3 linked regions of the Neurospora crassa OR74A genome follow. The main gene of each other region encodes a partner of the protein of the gene in region 3 in a complex. Links are inferred from orthologs where the notes say so. Each region holds a gene or a part of one and is shown on either strand. Other genes may lie near its edges. The genes, in order: NCU04068, NCU17114 and NCU08299.

Evidence for each region.
Region 1: NCU08299 (region 3) and NCU04068 share a complex: the UniProt entries of both Saccharomyces cerevisiae proteins name them as parts of the mitochondrial large ribosomal subunit. The link is inferred for Neurospora crassa OR74A from reciprocal best matches to the Saccharomyces cerevisiae genes MRPL3 and MRPL6.
Region 2: NCU08299 (region 3) and NCU17114 share a complex: the UniProt entries of both Saccharomyces cerevisiae proteins name them as parts of the mitochondrial large ribosomal subunit. The link is inferred for Neurospora crassa OR74A from reciprocal best matches to the Saccharomyces cerevisiae genes MRPL3 and MRPL39.

What each region holds. Positions count from the first base shown.
Region 1 is NC_026506.1:2,634,567-2,639,375, reverse strand, and holds NCU04068 (mitochondrial 54S ribosomal protein YmL16), read right to left. Parts: upstream 3,481-4,809; 5' UTR 3,296-3,480; coding exon 3,010-3,295; intron 2,792-3,009; coding exon 2,678-2,791; intron 2,587-2,677; coding exon 2,219-2,586; 3' UTR 2,068-2,218; coding exon of another isoform or gene 781-2,067; 3' UTR 674-780; downstream 1-673. Other genes in the region: NCU04069 (3'-phosphoadenosine 5'-phosphatase), read left to right, coding at 781-2,067; NCU04067 (hypothetical protein), read left to right, coding at 4,390-4,483, 4,542-4,809. UniProt on the Saccharomyces cerevisiae protein: Component of the mitochondrial ribosome (mitoribosome), a dedicated translation machinery responsible for the synthesis of mitochondrial genome-encoded proteins, including at least some of the essential transmembrane subunits of the mitochondrial respiratory chain.
Region 2 is NC_026506.1:2,291,914-2,296,416, forward strand, and holds NCU17114 (hypothetical protein), read left to right. Parts: upstream 1-1,981; 5' UTR 1,982-2,270; coding exon 2,271-2,283; intron 2,284-2,414; coding exon 2,415-2,531; intron 2,532-2,954; coding exon 2,955-3,004; 3' UTR 3,005-3,510; downstream 3,511-4,503. Other genes in the region: ala (alanine aminotransferase), read right to left, coding at 782-899; NCU03974 (hypothetical protein), read right to left, coding at 3,820-4,503. UniProt on the Saccharomyces cerevisiae protein: Component of the mitochondrial ribosome (mitoribosome), a dedicated translation machinery responsible for the synthesis of mitochondrial genome-encoded proteins, including at least some of the essential transmembrane subunits of the mitochondrial respiratory chain.
Region 3 is NC_026504.1:2,487,597-2,492,405, forward strand, and holds NCU08299 (mitochondrial 54S ribosomal protein YmL3), read left to right. Parts: upstream 1-2,007; 5' UTR 2,008-2,297; coding exon 2,298-3,617; 3' UTR 3,618-4,396; downstream 4,397-4,809. Other genes in the region: NCU08300 (uncharacterized protein), read right to left, coding at 929-998, 1,113-1,295, 1,404-1,423, 1,508-1,510. UniProt on the Saccharomyces cerevisiae protein: Component of the mitochondrial ribosome (mitoribosome), a dedicated translation machinery responsible for the synthesis of mitochondrial genome-encoded proteins, including at least some of the essential transmembrane subunits of the mitochondrial respiratory chain.

The sequences.
Region 1 (4,809 bases), on a different chromosome or scaffold from region 3:
CTGGCAATTAGGTTATACCAGGGCCTGTTCAGCTCGACCTCCGCATCGATGTGACCCGTGATGGTGTCTCCAGAAGCGCTTTGAGTTGCTGAATGGGAGTTGATCCAAGCAAGCCACTTGGCTTGGCACGCTGCGGCATGGATGCTGCAGCTTTTCGGAGCTCAGTTGGTTCGTTGAATGTAAAGGGTTGGACTTTCGGTCCGGTTCCCTTTTCGTTGATAACAGGGTGCAGAATTTACTGTTGCTGCGCAGTTCGCTTCGAGGTCATCGGGACCGTCTGAGTGTCGTCGGCGGAAGTGAAGATAGAAATCCCACAAAATGTGATGAATATTGGAGTCGAAAGAGAAGCTCTCTCCGAGTTCGGGGCTAGCTACCTAGCTTATCCGTGGGTGCTCATGTTTAACATGGAAAGGACCCTGAACCGAGCCGTGTCATCATTGCTGTTTTGACGGGCATTCTCTCAAGAGTGGAGTGCCAAATCGAAAAAGAAACATCAAGAAATAGGTAAAGCATTTCATCAAAGTAAACAAAGATTTTGAGACTCTCATGTCTGCATTTGTGGAGATAGCGAGCGGTTGGTGGCATTGCGGGGAACCAATTGAAGTGGGAAAAAAGACAAAAAGGGCAGTCATACGTCAACAGCTTCGCCGCTACAGAATCAGTGCGGGGAACATTTGACAGCCAGAATCCCAAGTTCAACCACTCAACAACTTGGACTGAATACGTATTCCGGTTACGGATTGAAAATTCCCCGAGGTTTATCGATCCTCTCGCGGCTGTATGACTGTGGATAAGATCAAACAGCAGAAAAAGGCATCGTCCCATACTTTCTACTCCAAAATTCTCTTCGTTTTCTCCCTCATCGTCCTCATCCTGGCTATCTTCAGTTCCCGCATCTCCTTTCCCCGGCTTTCCCTCATTGCGAGCCATTTGACTGGCAGTGCCAACACAATCACAGCAACCAGCCGCTCAACCATTACAACTACATCTACACAGAAGATGGCCTCTTCCCAGTACGCAAAGGAGCTCGAGGTAGCTCAGCTCGCCGTCCAGCGGGCCGCCCGCCTCACCAAGCGCGTCTTCCACGAGAAGGCCAAGGGCACCGTTTCCAAGGACGACAAGTCCCCTGTGACCATTGGCGACTTTGGCGCTCAGGCGCTCATCATCAGCGCCCTCAAGGCCAACTTTCCTTCGGACGAGATTGTGGCTGAGGAGGAGGCCGCTCAGCTGCGCGAGGACACCCCCCTGCGGGACCAGATCTGGGAGCTCGTCAAGTCCACCAAGCTTGACGATGAGGCTGCCGAGCAACTCCTTGGCGGCGCCATCAAGGATGCCGACGCGATGCTGGAGATCATCGACCAGGGCAACAGCAAGGGCGGCGCCAAGGGCAGGATATGGACTATCGACCCCATCGACGGCACCAAGGGCTTCCTGCGCGGTGGACAGTATGCCGTGTGCTTGGGACTGATGGTGGACGGTGACGTCAAGGTCGGTGTTCTCGGTTGCCCGAACCTGCCTGTGGACGACGCTGCGCCGTTGGCTGCGGATATCGGCACCAATGCGACCGATGAGGGCCGGGGTGTCATCTTCTCGGCCGTTCAGGGCCAAGGCGCGACTAGCAGACCCCTGGGCACCGCCGGTCTTGCGGAGGGCAAGTCCATTGCGATGAAGCCTATTACAGAGATGTCCAACGCCAGCTTCTGCGAGAGCGTGGAGGCGGGTCACTCGGATCAGGGCGTGGCTGGACAGATTGCGCAGAAGCTCGGGATCACCAAGCCTAGTGTGCGCATGGATTCCCAGGCCAAGTACGGCTCTATTGCTCGCGGCGCGGGTGATATCTACCTCCGTCTGCCTACTTCCAAGTCTTACCAGGAGAAGATCTGGGATCACGCTGCTGGAGATCTGATTGTGCGTGAGGCTGGTGGTCAGGTTACCGACGTGAGTGGAAACCGCCTGGATTTCAGCGTCGGCCGCACGTTGGCTGAAAACAAGGGTGTCATTGCGGCGCCTGCTGCGGTCCACGACCAGGTCATCAAGGTCGTTCAGGAAGTTCTCGGGCAGCAGTAAAGCCTCGGTGTCATAGTGTACAGGTTATGGCAGGTATCGGGCCGTTATGAGGCCATGTGTGTGCCAAAAAAAATAATAGACTAAATGTACAATATTCCCCCCTTATCCTCATCAACAACCATATCAGCCACCAAAACCCACCGCGCGTCCTCTATTTGATCTTCTTCTGCTTCAACTTGATGGTCTCGCCGTTGACAAAGATACCCTTACCCTTGTAGGGTTCCGGTACACGCCACCTCCTGATATCAGCGGCGAAGGTCATGACCTGCTCTCTGTTGATGCCCTCAAGCAGGATTCTTGTCGGCTGCGGCGTGCTGGCCTTCATGCCCTTGGGAACGCCCATCTCGACGGGGTGGGAGAAACCGAGCTTGAGGCAGACGAACTGCTGGCCGGGGTATTCCTCCTTCTCGGGGCGGGTGTCGATTGTAGCTCTGTAACCGATACCGACCAAACGCAACACGGCCGTGTGACCTTCTGATACACCCATAATGAAGCGGTTGAGGTACGCCCATGTTGTTCCTGTTTTGTCCAAGAAAGATTCGAAATCGTCAGCTGACTGGCCGCCCGTAACTTTCCACATTCTCCAAGACAAGGAAGGTGTTTGCCATACCCCACATCTCTCTCTGCTCCTTCTCGTCCCGGTTCGCTACGCTGAGGGTCGCTCTCCTTGCCTCGGCGTCGTGGTCGATCTTGATGAAGTCGGGAATGTCCATCTCGAGTTGTCCTGTGAAAAAGCACACGCACACGTGCAACAAGTCAGCCAGCTGCTCTGCTCCCATCCTAGTCCCCTTTGCACTCTCGCGCAAACACCCATAAACAACGTTCTCTCTCGGGCCTCTCCCAGCCCATCTGTTGCGCCCGCTCCAGTTTCGTTGCGTATCCTCAAATAAAACACCCATCTGGTCCTTTTGCCAAGTCGATTTTACAATAGAACAAACTAACCCAACGGGCCCTGCACCGTAATCTTGCGCTTAGGCTGCTGCTTCCACTGCGTCATGTCGCGCTTGACGAAGGGCTCGCCAATGGTGATCTCGACGCCAGGAGGGATACTGAGCGGGGTGCGGCCGAGCTTGGACGGGCGGGTTGTCGTCGCGGAAAAGTTGCGCCGGGCGGCGGCACCGGCAGTCTGTTGGAAGGCGGGCACCAGGAAGCCGGGGAGTGTGACGACGGGAGAAGATGAGGAAGAGGCAACGGCCTCAAGGACCCTCCTTCGGCTTGGGGCGAACATCGTGGTGAGTGTCGTCGTCGTCGGCAGGGTGGTGGCCGTCGTCACGATGCGGAACCGGAATTGGCGAAGAGACGCGGCGCTCCAGTTCGGAGGTTCTGGCAGTCGCAAGGGCAGCACCGAGTCAATGGCAAGCCGGCCGGGTGGTGGGATGAACCGAGTGGATCTTCGGAGAGCTCCAAAAAATGTATCGGACCTGACGCGGCACAGCAATGCAGCTAGTGATTGGCTGTAAATACAACAGGGTTAGGGTCGTATCCGCATAGTCTCGCTGCTGCTATTCGCTTGGGCTAAGAAACAACGACGAACACCAACAGATGTTATTCCATCCGACATCATTCATCTCGAGTAAGAAATCTTCAAAAAGAAAATGGCACAGGGCGTGGAAGTGTAGAGTTTACTCGATGGAACATATTGTTTCACAATATTCAGATTGAATGTTGAATTAATCTCCCGTTCGACAATCGTCCAGCTTTCCGATGACGACTTTACGGATGCCAACCTCACGATAGTCATCACCACCCAGAACACCCGTCACGGTCGAAGTCTTCCAAACTGTCTCAAGCGAGCTGTTTGCACTTTCTCGATACCGGATGAAAAGATGCAGATTCCAGTGATGTCAAGACAAGTGGTCTACAGCCCAAATCTTTGTCTAGGCTCGCTTCTGTTGGAGAGGACAGCGTCACATCAGACGATTAAGAACCAGCAAAAGTCGAGCTCGGCAGACAATCACAGTCATATTCGATGCGAACTTCAAGTGAAGTCATTTCACACGAAACCTTTTCGCGGTTTCACAATCCTGTGATTCTTGTCCCGCTAAATTCAAGTCCGCTTCTCTTATCCTGGGCAGTCGCGATCGCCAACTTACCCTCATACACCTTCCTTCCTTCCCTCTCTTGAATCGCTCCTTCTCTTCAAAAACACCACAGAATTTTCAGTTGCATGGCCACAAACTTCGATCGCCAAAATTGCACTACCAATATTGCCAGAATCTCCATTTCTTACTGCCGAAGTCCCTTCGACGGCACTCTTCTGGACGCATCTGACTTTATCAGTATATCATCATCAGCCTGTCGCATTGCACTTACATGACAACTATGGCCAGGAAGCTTCTCTTCACGGCTCTCTGTGCCGTTACAGCTACACCTTCTCTGGCCTTTTCGTGGGGAGGTGAAAGAAAAGTGGCAGTTCGTAAGTAATATCAGAGCACTGCCTGCAGGGCTTGACTAATAATATGACCGCAACACAGCCGACCATCAAGTCAACATCGACCGCAACATCCAGCCTTCGGATCTGCTTCGAGCGTCCTCACGCCTACCAAATATCTACGCCGTCGCCCTAAGTGAACTTCAAGAACTCGAATCAGAACCGTTTTGCCATCGTGTGGCCGCCCGACTCCTAGTCAACAACTGCCAGCTGGTAGACGGAAAGAACGACGCCACAATCCTCACAGACACTGGTCGGCAAGTTCGCGACTTTGTTGATTCCTACGCTGCCAGTCTAGCGATATGTGATTT
Region 2 (4,503 bases), on a different chromosome or scaffold from region 3:
ACAATAAATGGTTGGCTTGTGTAGCTCTTTCTTGCGTGTGTGTATATGAAGGACGGGTAATTGAAGAAGAATCAGCGCATGTCTCGCCTGTCGTGTCGACACGTCCGATGATCGAATACACCAACTGCTTCGGGATTTGAACGGCCGGAACAAAGTGCTTCAGGTTATTGCCCTGAGGCGCTTTAAGCGCACAAGGTACCTCTTAGGTGGTACCTACGTGATCTGCCATGCAACGGGACGAGGCAACCGCAACATTGCCAAATTGCATTGCTTCAGAGCAGGCATCGACATCAAGTAGATAGAGGTAGGTAGATAGGGACTATGCACGCACTGCATGCCACGAGGCTCTCGGGAGTTGAAGATTTTGGCTGCAACTCTCTGTGTGTGGTGTGTGGTTGTGTTCGCGTGGCTTTGCCGAGATCGGGGATGGTGATTCCCGTTGTGGGGAGGAAGGGGAGACAGGGAAATGGGCAGGTGGCGGTCTGGGGATGGAGTCTCAGGATGTAACTTGGATCATGAACTCGAAGCGACAGCAAACACCTGACATTGGGGAATGGGAAAGTGAAGGCAGATGGACAGCTGCGGTTTAAGCAGGTGCCAAGACCGTTGCAACGGAGAGAGTTGCAAACGCGGGGAAAGAAAGTTGGGGAAGTTCGGGACAAGAGGAAGCAACGGTACGTTCGGGAAGGTGAAAGCGACGCAATAAAGCACATCGATCCGCGTCGGTCGGACGAGAAACTCGCGCCGCTTTGGCGAATGGCAAGGGTTTGGTGATCCTTACCTCCGCATGTCGCCGGACCCCACGCCGACTGCTGAACAGGGATTGAATAATTTCTCACGGCCGCGCTCGGCAGCCGGTGACGGGCGGTCTTGAGGGCGTTTGACAGTCCGGCAGCCATCGATGCGATTGTCGATCTCTTTCTGATGAAGTGTACGTATTGATGGATGAGGGGAGGAGGGTCTCGATACTGCCGGGTGGGGGGGGACAGGACTCCCGGAGATGCCGTCAAAGGTGAACGGGAGAAGAACTTGTCGTTGATGGTGCGCTGACTCGCTCCGAGAGTACCGAGAGGACGGGATGTGATTTAGGGCTGAGTCCAGTTTATGTCAGTTGGGTTGGGTTTTCAAACCGCATTCGACACAGCAGACGCAAAGACACTATGAATGGGGGGGGGGGGGGGGGGGGGGAAAGATAGCACGCAGAAGAACACACGAACTTTTTTTTTTTTTTCTTTTTTTCATCAAATGTAGCAACCCAAACTGAACTAATGAGCTCCGAAACAGGAGCACGGAAAGCGGTGTGGTCTAGAACTTTTTGTTACAAAAGAGTCTTCGTTCCGGTCCGGTTTTGCTCCCGCGATCCATTTCTGGCGGGGTCGCAGAGGTCCGAATCGAGACTACAGTCTTGGTACAGTATGGAGAGTCAATCAAACAAATGCCATATTCTGATTCGGACTGCTATCCGCCAGACGAGGCGGTATCGCTGAGCTGTTTCGTAGCCGCCAAGATAAGCTGCTGCTGTGCTGTGCTGCCTGACAAGCCAACGTTAAATCCGGGCCGTTGTATTCTACCTCTAGAGGTAGCTGCGGCATGTGTAGGACCAGTGGACTATATCTAGTATCCAGGAACTATCCTTTTCGTCGACTTACACAGTTCCCTTCCAGCGCCTTGTTGGCGGGACGGGCATGATTACAGCCACAGTGCTGTCAACGGTCACCATGTTGAAATTACGGTACACAAATATCAAATTTATGTTCTTGAATACATCTCTCTCAGTGTACAAGCCCAGCAAAGGTGTTGATGTTGTCAATAAATTTGTGTGAGATGTTCTGATAGATATCACGCCCGTTGTGTTTTGGCCAAGGCCTCTGGGGTTCCTCGGTGAGCTCTCAGCTCACTACACTCAGCTTGTTCCTCACCTTGCCTTCACCGATCCTACAAGTACACTAAACCGCGGGCAGCCACCTGCCAAGCCCAGCTAGGAGCGCACACGACCCACCCACAGCCCCACCACGGCCCACGCACCCCCGGCGGGCCGGCAGGCAAAATCTACAATCGCAATCGCAAGAAGCGCGGACGACCCGACGTCGATTGGAGAGCTTCCGGCGCAAAGACCGTGCTCCGTGAATCCGCCCGCCCTCCGCCCGCAGTTTGCGAACCTCTCCGTCCGGACGAGCCCCAGCCCGTCGCCCGTCGCCGTACCGCACTTGATCCAGTCCAGTCCAGGCGCGCCGTTGCACACCACAACAGCGCAACAAAAGTCGTTCAACATGGCGAAGAAGGGTAATCGACTCCATCCTCACCCGTGTGTCTGCAATTACTGCTTTGTTTTCCTAAAGGGAAAAGCGATGCAATGGGGAAACCGGAAACCGAAAACAGAAGACGATAGTTGCTGATAGGTAAACAACAAACAGCCAAGTCCCGCATCATTAACGTGCGCCTGATCTCAATGGCCATGACGGGTTATTTCTACACCTTCACCCGTCCCCGTACCTCGCTGCCTATGAGCATGCTGAAATACGATCCGATCGGTATGCGCATATCCTCTCCCCTCATTCCTATCTACCTCTTTCGCTTCCAACCACCTACATGATTGATTCGGCGGACACGACGACACGGGCATGATATGGAACTCTTTTTGGTTGCGGGCTTTCTCGATTTGCACGATTCGAAACACCCCAATACGCTTCGTCGAACGGACCTTGGGAAGCTCGCTTGGGACTGGGACTAGGACTGGGATCAGGCTGGGACGCAACAGTTCAAAGACTCGGACGATGGCATAACGTACGGACCTTCGAGAAAAGAAAAAAAAAAAAGCAACCAGCCAACCAACCGGCCAACAGAGAAGAGAGGAGGGGACGGAAGAAACACTTGCCTACGACAGACAATTTTTCCCAATCACGGATCTCGAAGAGGAAGGAATACCTACTAACCCTTTCGCCTCTCCACCATAGTTCGCCGCAAGGTCCTCTTCCTCGAACAGAAACGCAAGGGCAGGTCATAGATCGTTACTCGCCCCCGGGCCTAACGACCGTCGAACGACCGAGAGCCAGAGCGAGAACGCGGAGCCTGCGATACGGAATCAAAGAGCGTAGCGGCGAAGCAGCGACAAGTAAAAAGCTACAGCACCCCCTCCACGGATTACCACGTCACACCAAGTTACGATTTCGACCGGGTTGTGTTTCAAGCAGATCACCAGCAGACAATGGCCAGTGCTGGCGAGTGAGTTGGAGCTGGAGCTGGAGAGGGGGGTGGACCGGACCGGAACTGGACTGGATATATGGAGAAGAGAGGCGCAAGAATAAGATGGGGTCCCTCGTTCCATCCAGTCTCTGGTCGTGTATTATTACTGTACCACCGATCCATCAGTATATAACATCACCCTGTGAGTTATGGATTGGCACCATGGAGCGTTTGTTGCTTCTTCGCTCTACCGATGGGCCAGGTTGATTAGAGAATGTACAAGTCAAGAGATAAGCACAACGCCCCTCGGCCGTCGGCAATGCTGGGCGTGACCCAGGTTCACTGCCAAGTGGCTCTCCCTTCTCTTGTGTTGTGTGGTAAGGATAACTCTTCTATCGCGATCAGACAGTCTGTCATGACACCTCGACATCTTTGACTTTTCTTGCCATCGTACATCGCTTTATCTCATCTTTCTATATTTTCGTGGAAATCAAACTTTTCATTAGTCACAAGACCCGTCTCCCAACATTTTACAGGCGTTCTTTCACACTCTTCTCGTCGTATACATATTGAATCTCAATTCATTCGAAACACAGTCTCCAATCCACACAAATACGCCATGCATCGACATATGGATCATAACTTATTCCCAGGCGGAGGCAGAGGCAAGTCATCTCCGTCTTCTTTGTTTGCATTCTGCGAGAGGGTCATGGAGTCTTGGGTCTCATCATTGGCGCCCCCGTATCGCGAAAGTGGCTGGGACTGAGACCGTGATTGGGACTCGCCGTTCGTTTGACTGACCGAGTTGGTGTTTTCCGCAGGATCAACGGACCTTCTACTGCCATAAGTTCGAGTCGGTGCTGATCTGGGTGGCAAAAACCTGTTGGCACCGTTCATGACCTCGGGTAGGAGGCCAAATGAAGGCTTGAAGTTGATGGAAATCAATCCGTTTTCAGAAGGCTCAGAGCCTTCGCTCAACTTATCCAGGGCGTGACGGCTTCGGTAAATCCGTTGTGGTCGTACTATTCCGCGAGTTCCACGTTCATCTGAGCCGTTAGGAAGCGATGCTGAAGCTGGGGTAGAAGTAATGTCTTTGGTCGTACCCTTTCCCCCGGCCCCTTTCGAGTATCTCCCGCGCCGAAGAACTACAGGAGAATCCACGATATCATCAGGTTGTTTCCGCTTGTTAGGTCTTCCTGAAGCAGAGGCATCTGAAAAGTGGCCGGACGTAACTTCATGAGACACGGGATTTGGCTCCAAAAAAGCACCCGCACTTTCAGGGGGAGTTGCTGTGAAGGTTTCAAGTGGTCCGATTCTCCC
Region 3 (4,809 bases):
ATTCGTTAAATAAATCGACCGGACATAGTATTTGAAACTGCCAGATAGATTTGGCACACCCAGGATCGTAACTCTCCTGTATGGGTGTGAGTCGAAGTTCGAGCGATAGGCTGAGCCATCGTCTCCCTCATTCCATTATGCAGGGTCCTATAGAAGCATACCACTTTTGAATCAACGTGAAGATGACGGAACCACTCAGCTCCTACCAGTCAGTATATATGAAGTTCACTGCGAACATAGATAGGCCAATTCTCAGATATGTTGCCATTGAGTGTCCGGGAAGCGGTAAGGCAGAGATCGGGAGCAAATCAGGCTACATGGAAGGTAGAATGGACTTATCGACGGCAGTTCCGATCCGGGATGATCGGCTTCGGACGCGCGCCGGCCCAGCTCCATCCGGTGCGGGTCCCAGGTCGCCGTGTCCGCTGTCTTGATGCCGAGTCATGAACCGACCGAAAAGCTCCGCACAGCCAGGAACTGAGGTCCGCCGAGGCCCACCTCGATTAAATAGACAGTCGAGGTTTCCACAGCAGCTTACCTTGTTGCTTGCGTTTACACCAAAACATGCGAAGAACATTGTTAAGGCATGTTCACGATTCAAAGTCATGGAAGGTGGGCTCTTCTCTGTGAGTTCACTAGTATTCGCCAATAGTACGAAACGGTAAGAATAGAGGTAGTTTCCTCTATAATCCATTACAGAACTGATCCACATCAAAGTTAGCTTTATTCACGACGTAGCCAGGCTCTGGAGCACCAACGCAAGACGGCCAGCGGAGGGTAACCGACGTTGAATGTATTCCGAATATTGCATTACTACCACCAACCGGCCGGCCTCAACCAAGCCAAGATGTCCTGTTATTCCATCAAGCCTTTGGAAGCCATGTACTGTATGACCAAACGGCCGGGGTGGCAGGGCCTATGCCCAAATTTACTTTTTCTCCTGTGTCGTCCCGTTCTCCTTTTGCGCCCGCTCATACTCGATAATCTGTCTGCTCCAGCTAGTGGAGGTAATATCGGTTGCGTCAGCTTAAGAACATCCCCGCGGTCTGCGCTCGCGGAAAACGTTACGCATGTATAAAAATTTGGATGGGGGTCTGTCTGCCAGGACATACTATCTGCTGGGATAAAAGCGACCAGGCTCGGGCATCTTGTGACGGTACTCTTTCTCGGCGCTAAGCTTCCAGACTGCGGCAGTGATGAGGAAGACGACGCCACCGAGAACAGCCGTGTTCTTCTTCCAGTTGGCCGGCTGGGCGTACCAACCACCCGAAGGCGACCAGACGTGTTTGGGGTAGCTGGAGTGAAGGGCGAGGCAACGATTAGGACGGATCCATGACACAACGCAGGCTGGGTTGGACAGAATGCGCGGAGGGTTTGCGCATGTCGAGGGCGATGAAACTCACGGAACTTGGGGACCGCCGCCCTATAGACAGGAAAAATAGAGAGTTAGCAGACACAAAACATAGTAGTGATGATGGCTATTCTAAGCAATCGGGTGGATACGCACCATTGTGATGAAGTTTTGGGATATGTGGTGAGGTAGGTTGGACGTTCAACGAGGAATGATTCTTTCCACCTCGCAGTTAAGCAAGATCGGTTTGTACTGTCAACTTTGCGATGCACTGCGAACGACGGCACAATAGTGGTGATGCTTCAGCGGGAACAATTGGATAGAAGGACGAATGATGAATCCGCCTACAGGCTGACGAGGGGCTAAATCGCATCAACCATCCAGGCCTGAAAGTCACCATGTCACTCGTCCTAACTGGGGCCGAGGGCGCATGCGACAGACGGGCGGCGGGCGGCGGGCGGGCAGCTCCCGCTTGTCCACCACAGTGCACCGTATGCTAAACAGACAGCGCAGATAGTGGATTGGGGTCGAAGATGGATCTTGTGGGGACCCTCACTGGGCCAACAACGAATCATGTCAGCCGGCTTTTATGTCTCGGTCTTGGGGGAGTAACCCCTGCGCTTGAGCACTGATTCACGGCTCTGGGTGGTGGGCTTGTCTAGTGTACGGGTGGTGAGCGTTCAGATTGGAGAACTTTTTTTTTCTACCCGTGTTCGACGGCCGGCCGAGTCTGAACGAGAACCCATCCGATCAACGCGCGACTCCGACCGGGATCCCGAGTAGCTTCCCACCCCGCGACCACCGGCTCACCACCTGCCCGTCCGATTTCCCTCACTCCATCCTTTTCTTGGCAGGGCCTCCAGACGGCGCACACTTACGGAACCTGGGCCCCAGCACGTCAACACCCGGTTGTCGAGCCGACCATCACCCATCAAATATATCGCCCATGAAGAGGATAGCAACGCCCAGCTTGACGAGCCGGCTGCTCGTCGCCGCTCGCTCCGGAGTGTCGCCCGCCACTGCCGCCATCCGATCCCGATCTGCAATCTCGGTGCGATCGCAATCGACAGCTGCCCTCGCTCAGCACGATGCATCCCACGATCTCAACAATGATCGGTTCCCCCCGCTTGAGCCCCTCCCCCCCGCGGCCGAGTCCCTACCGTCGCCCCTCCCCGAACGGGCCTTGACCTCGGCCAAACTGGCCGCCCTCCACGCCCGTTTGAATCTTTCTCCCAAGATCCCCTTACAGACATTGGCAAGGACACTGGTCGACGCCTCGGCCGACGAGAACCCGCAGTTCAACAACGCCAACCTCGCCTTCGTTGGCCAGACCCTCATCAACTACCATATTGCCGAATGGCTCCTCTGCAAATACCCCCGTCTACCCCAGGGAATTCTCTTCAGTGCCATGAAGGCTTATGCCGGACCGAAGCCCTTGCTCCAGATTGCGCGGTCATGGGGTGTTGATACCGCCGCGGTGCCCGGCGGCGAGGTGGATCCCGGTCTTCTGCAGTTCGATGCCCTTAAGCCCGGCGTCGCCATCACAAATTTCGGCTACAAGCGTACAGAGCTCGCCTACCTCGAGAAGTTCAAGTGGCGTCGCGGTATGGCCTCGCGTGTCGTTCTCGACGACGACTTTGGTGATGTCGTGCGCAGCGACCCCAAGGTTGCCGCCGATCTGGAGAAGGCGATGGAAGAGCAGGATCAGGACAAGACTCCCGACGAGGAGGAGGCCGAGATGGTCGCTAATGAGCAGGACCAGGACGTGAGCTACGACCGCTACGGCAACCCCGACACCCGGGCCGCTGCTGAGCGGGCCCACGCCTACTTTGTGCGCGCCGTCGTCGGTGCCATCTACGCCCACTGCGGCCGCGAGGCCGCCAAGGCCTTTGTCAAGGCGCACATCATGTCGCGCACCCTCGACATTGCCAAGCTCTTCGAATTCAAGTACCCCACCCGCGAGCTCGCCGCGCTCTGCGCCCGTGAGGATTTCGAGCCCCCCGTGGCTCGTCTCCTCTCCGAGACGGGTCGCCAGTCGCGCACCCCCGTTTTTGTTGTCGGTATATACAGCGGCAGCGACAAGCTCGGCGAGGGCGCCGCCTCCTCTCTCGACCACGCCCGCTTCAAGGCCGCCATGAACGCCCTGAAGGCTTGGTATCTCTACAGCCCTGGCGAGAACCCTCGGGTACCCAGTGATATGCTGGAGGAGGGTGCCAAGCCCTGGACGCCAGCATACATTGATATGGGTGAGGTTATCTCCCGCTAAATGAGGAGGCTGAAACACGGAGCATGGCGGCGGACAGTACGGCAGGGCAGTAGAGAACTTAGGAAGTGTATGAAACGAAAGGTAAAAAGAGAGTCGCAGATGGCCTGCTTACACTCTCGGTTTTATTGGTTGTGCGGCCCATCAACTCGGGATAGGTTCCCCTTGTGGAAATCGACGCAAGAGGATCGAGAGGGAAACAAAACAACGAGTGGATTTTGTTGGTGTGGTCTAAAAGCTCAGCTTACCTTTCCACTCTTGTCCTGTCCTGTTGAGAGCGGGCAATTTCCGTCCTGCGAAGGAAGGGGATATTAAATGGATGGTCCTCTCCCATCCAGTCACTCCCTTTCCTTCCATTGTTTCTTGCTCTTTTTGCCAAAGACGAGATGTTGTATACAGATTTGCGCGCAACGGACATACATGTACACACACGCACACCCCCGCCACATATACCAATACAAAGGGGGGTTGGGACGGAACGGGGAATGAAGAGGGTCTGGATGGTGGCTGCTTGGCTCTGCTTTCGACAAAGAGAGACACAACCCTCGTCGGGGTGGCATCTGTGTCCTTCTTTCTCAGTGTATAATACCAAAAAAGTAGCCGAGGCCAGGGAGAAGGAAGATCATCGTCTGTATGTGTAGCATTAAGAAGTCAAATTTTTTACGAGGCATCAACGAAGTACATGACATGATAAATCCTTCCTCTACGTATTGACTGCTCTGGCATGAGGAGAAGGCTGTGTAAGAGAGAATATGGTACTACGCAATTTACACGCATTGTACAATTCCAGGATGTGTAAGCCCTTGTTTTGTATAACAAGCATCGTAAAGGAAGAAATGGGAATACGCAACCGGCAAGAGTAAAAGACCGGACGACGAGATCGAGCCTGGAAGTTCCTCCCAAGCTTGCGCGCCTTCCATTCATCCAAACTAGAGGTTGTTTAGTATCTATTTTGCCTTGTGCTTTCTTCACATTGCTCTTGTTTATCTTATACGTGAGAGGAAGATGAAGTTGGTGAGAGGGGAGATGAAATGTGGACTGTTCTCTCTGTAGTTGCGTCCTCACTTTCTCACCCCCTCCTGGTACTTTGTCACGACGTTTCCAAAAACACGTTCATCAGAACTTGCGACCTGATGCAAAGGGATCAATGAAGGAGACTTTGACAACTATAGAATTGGCATATTGTTAAGGTACA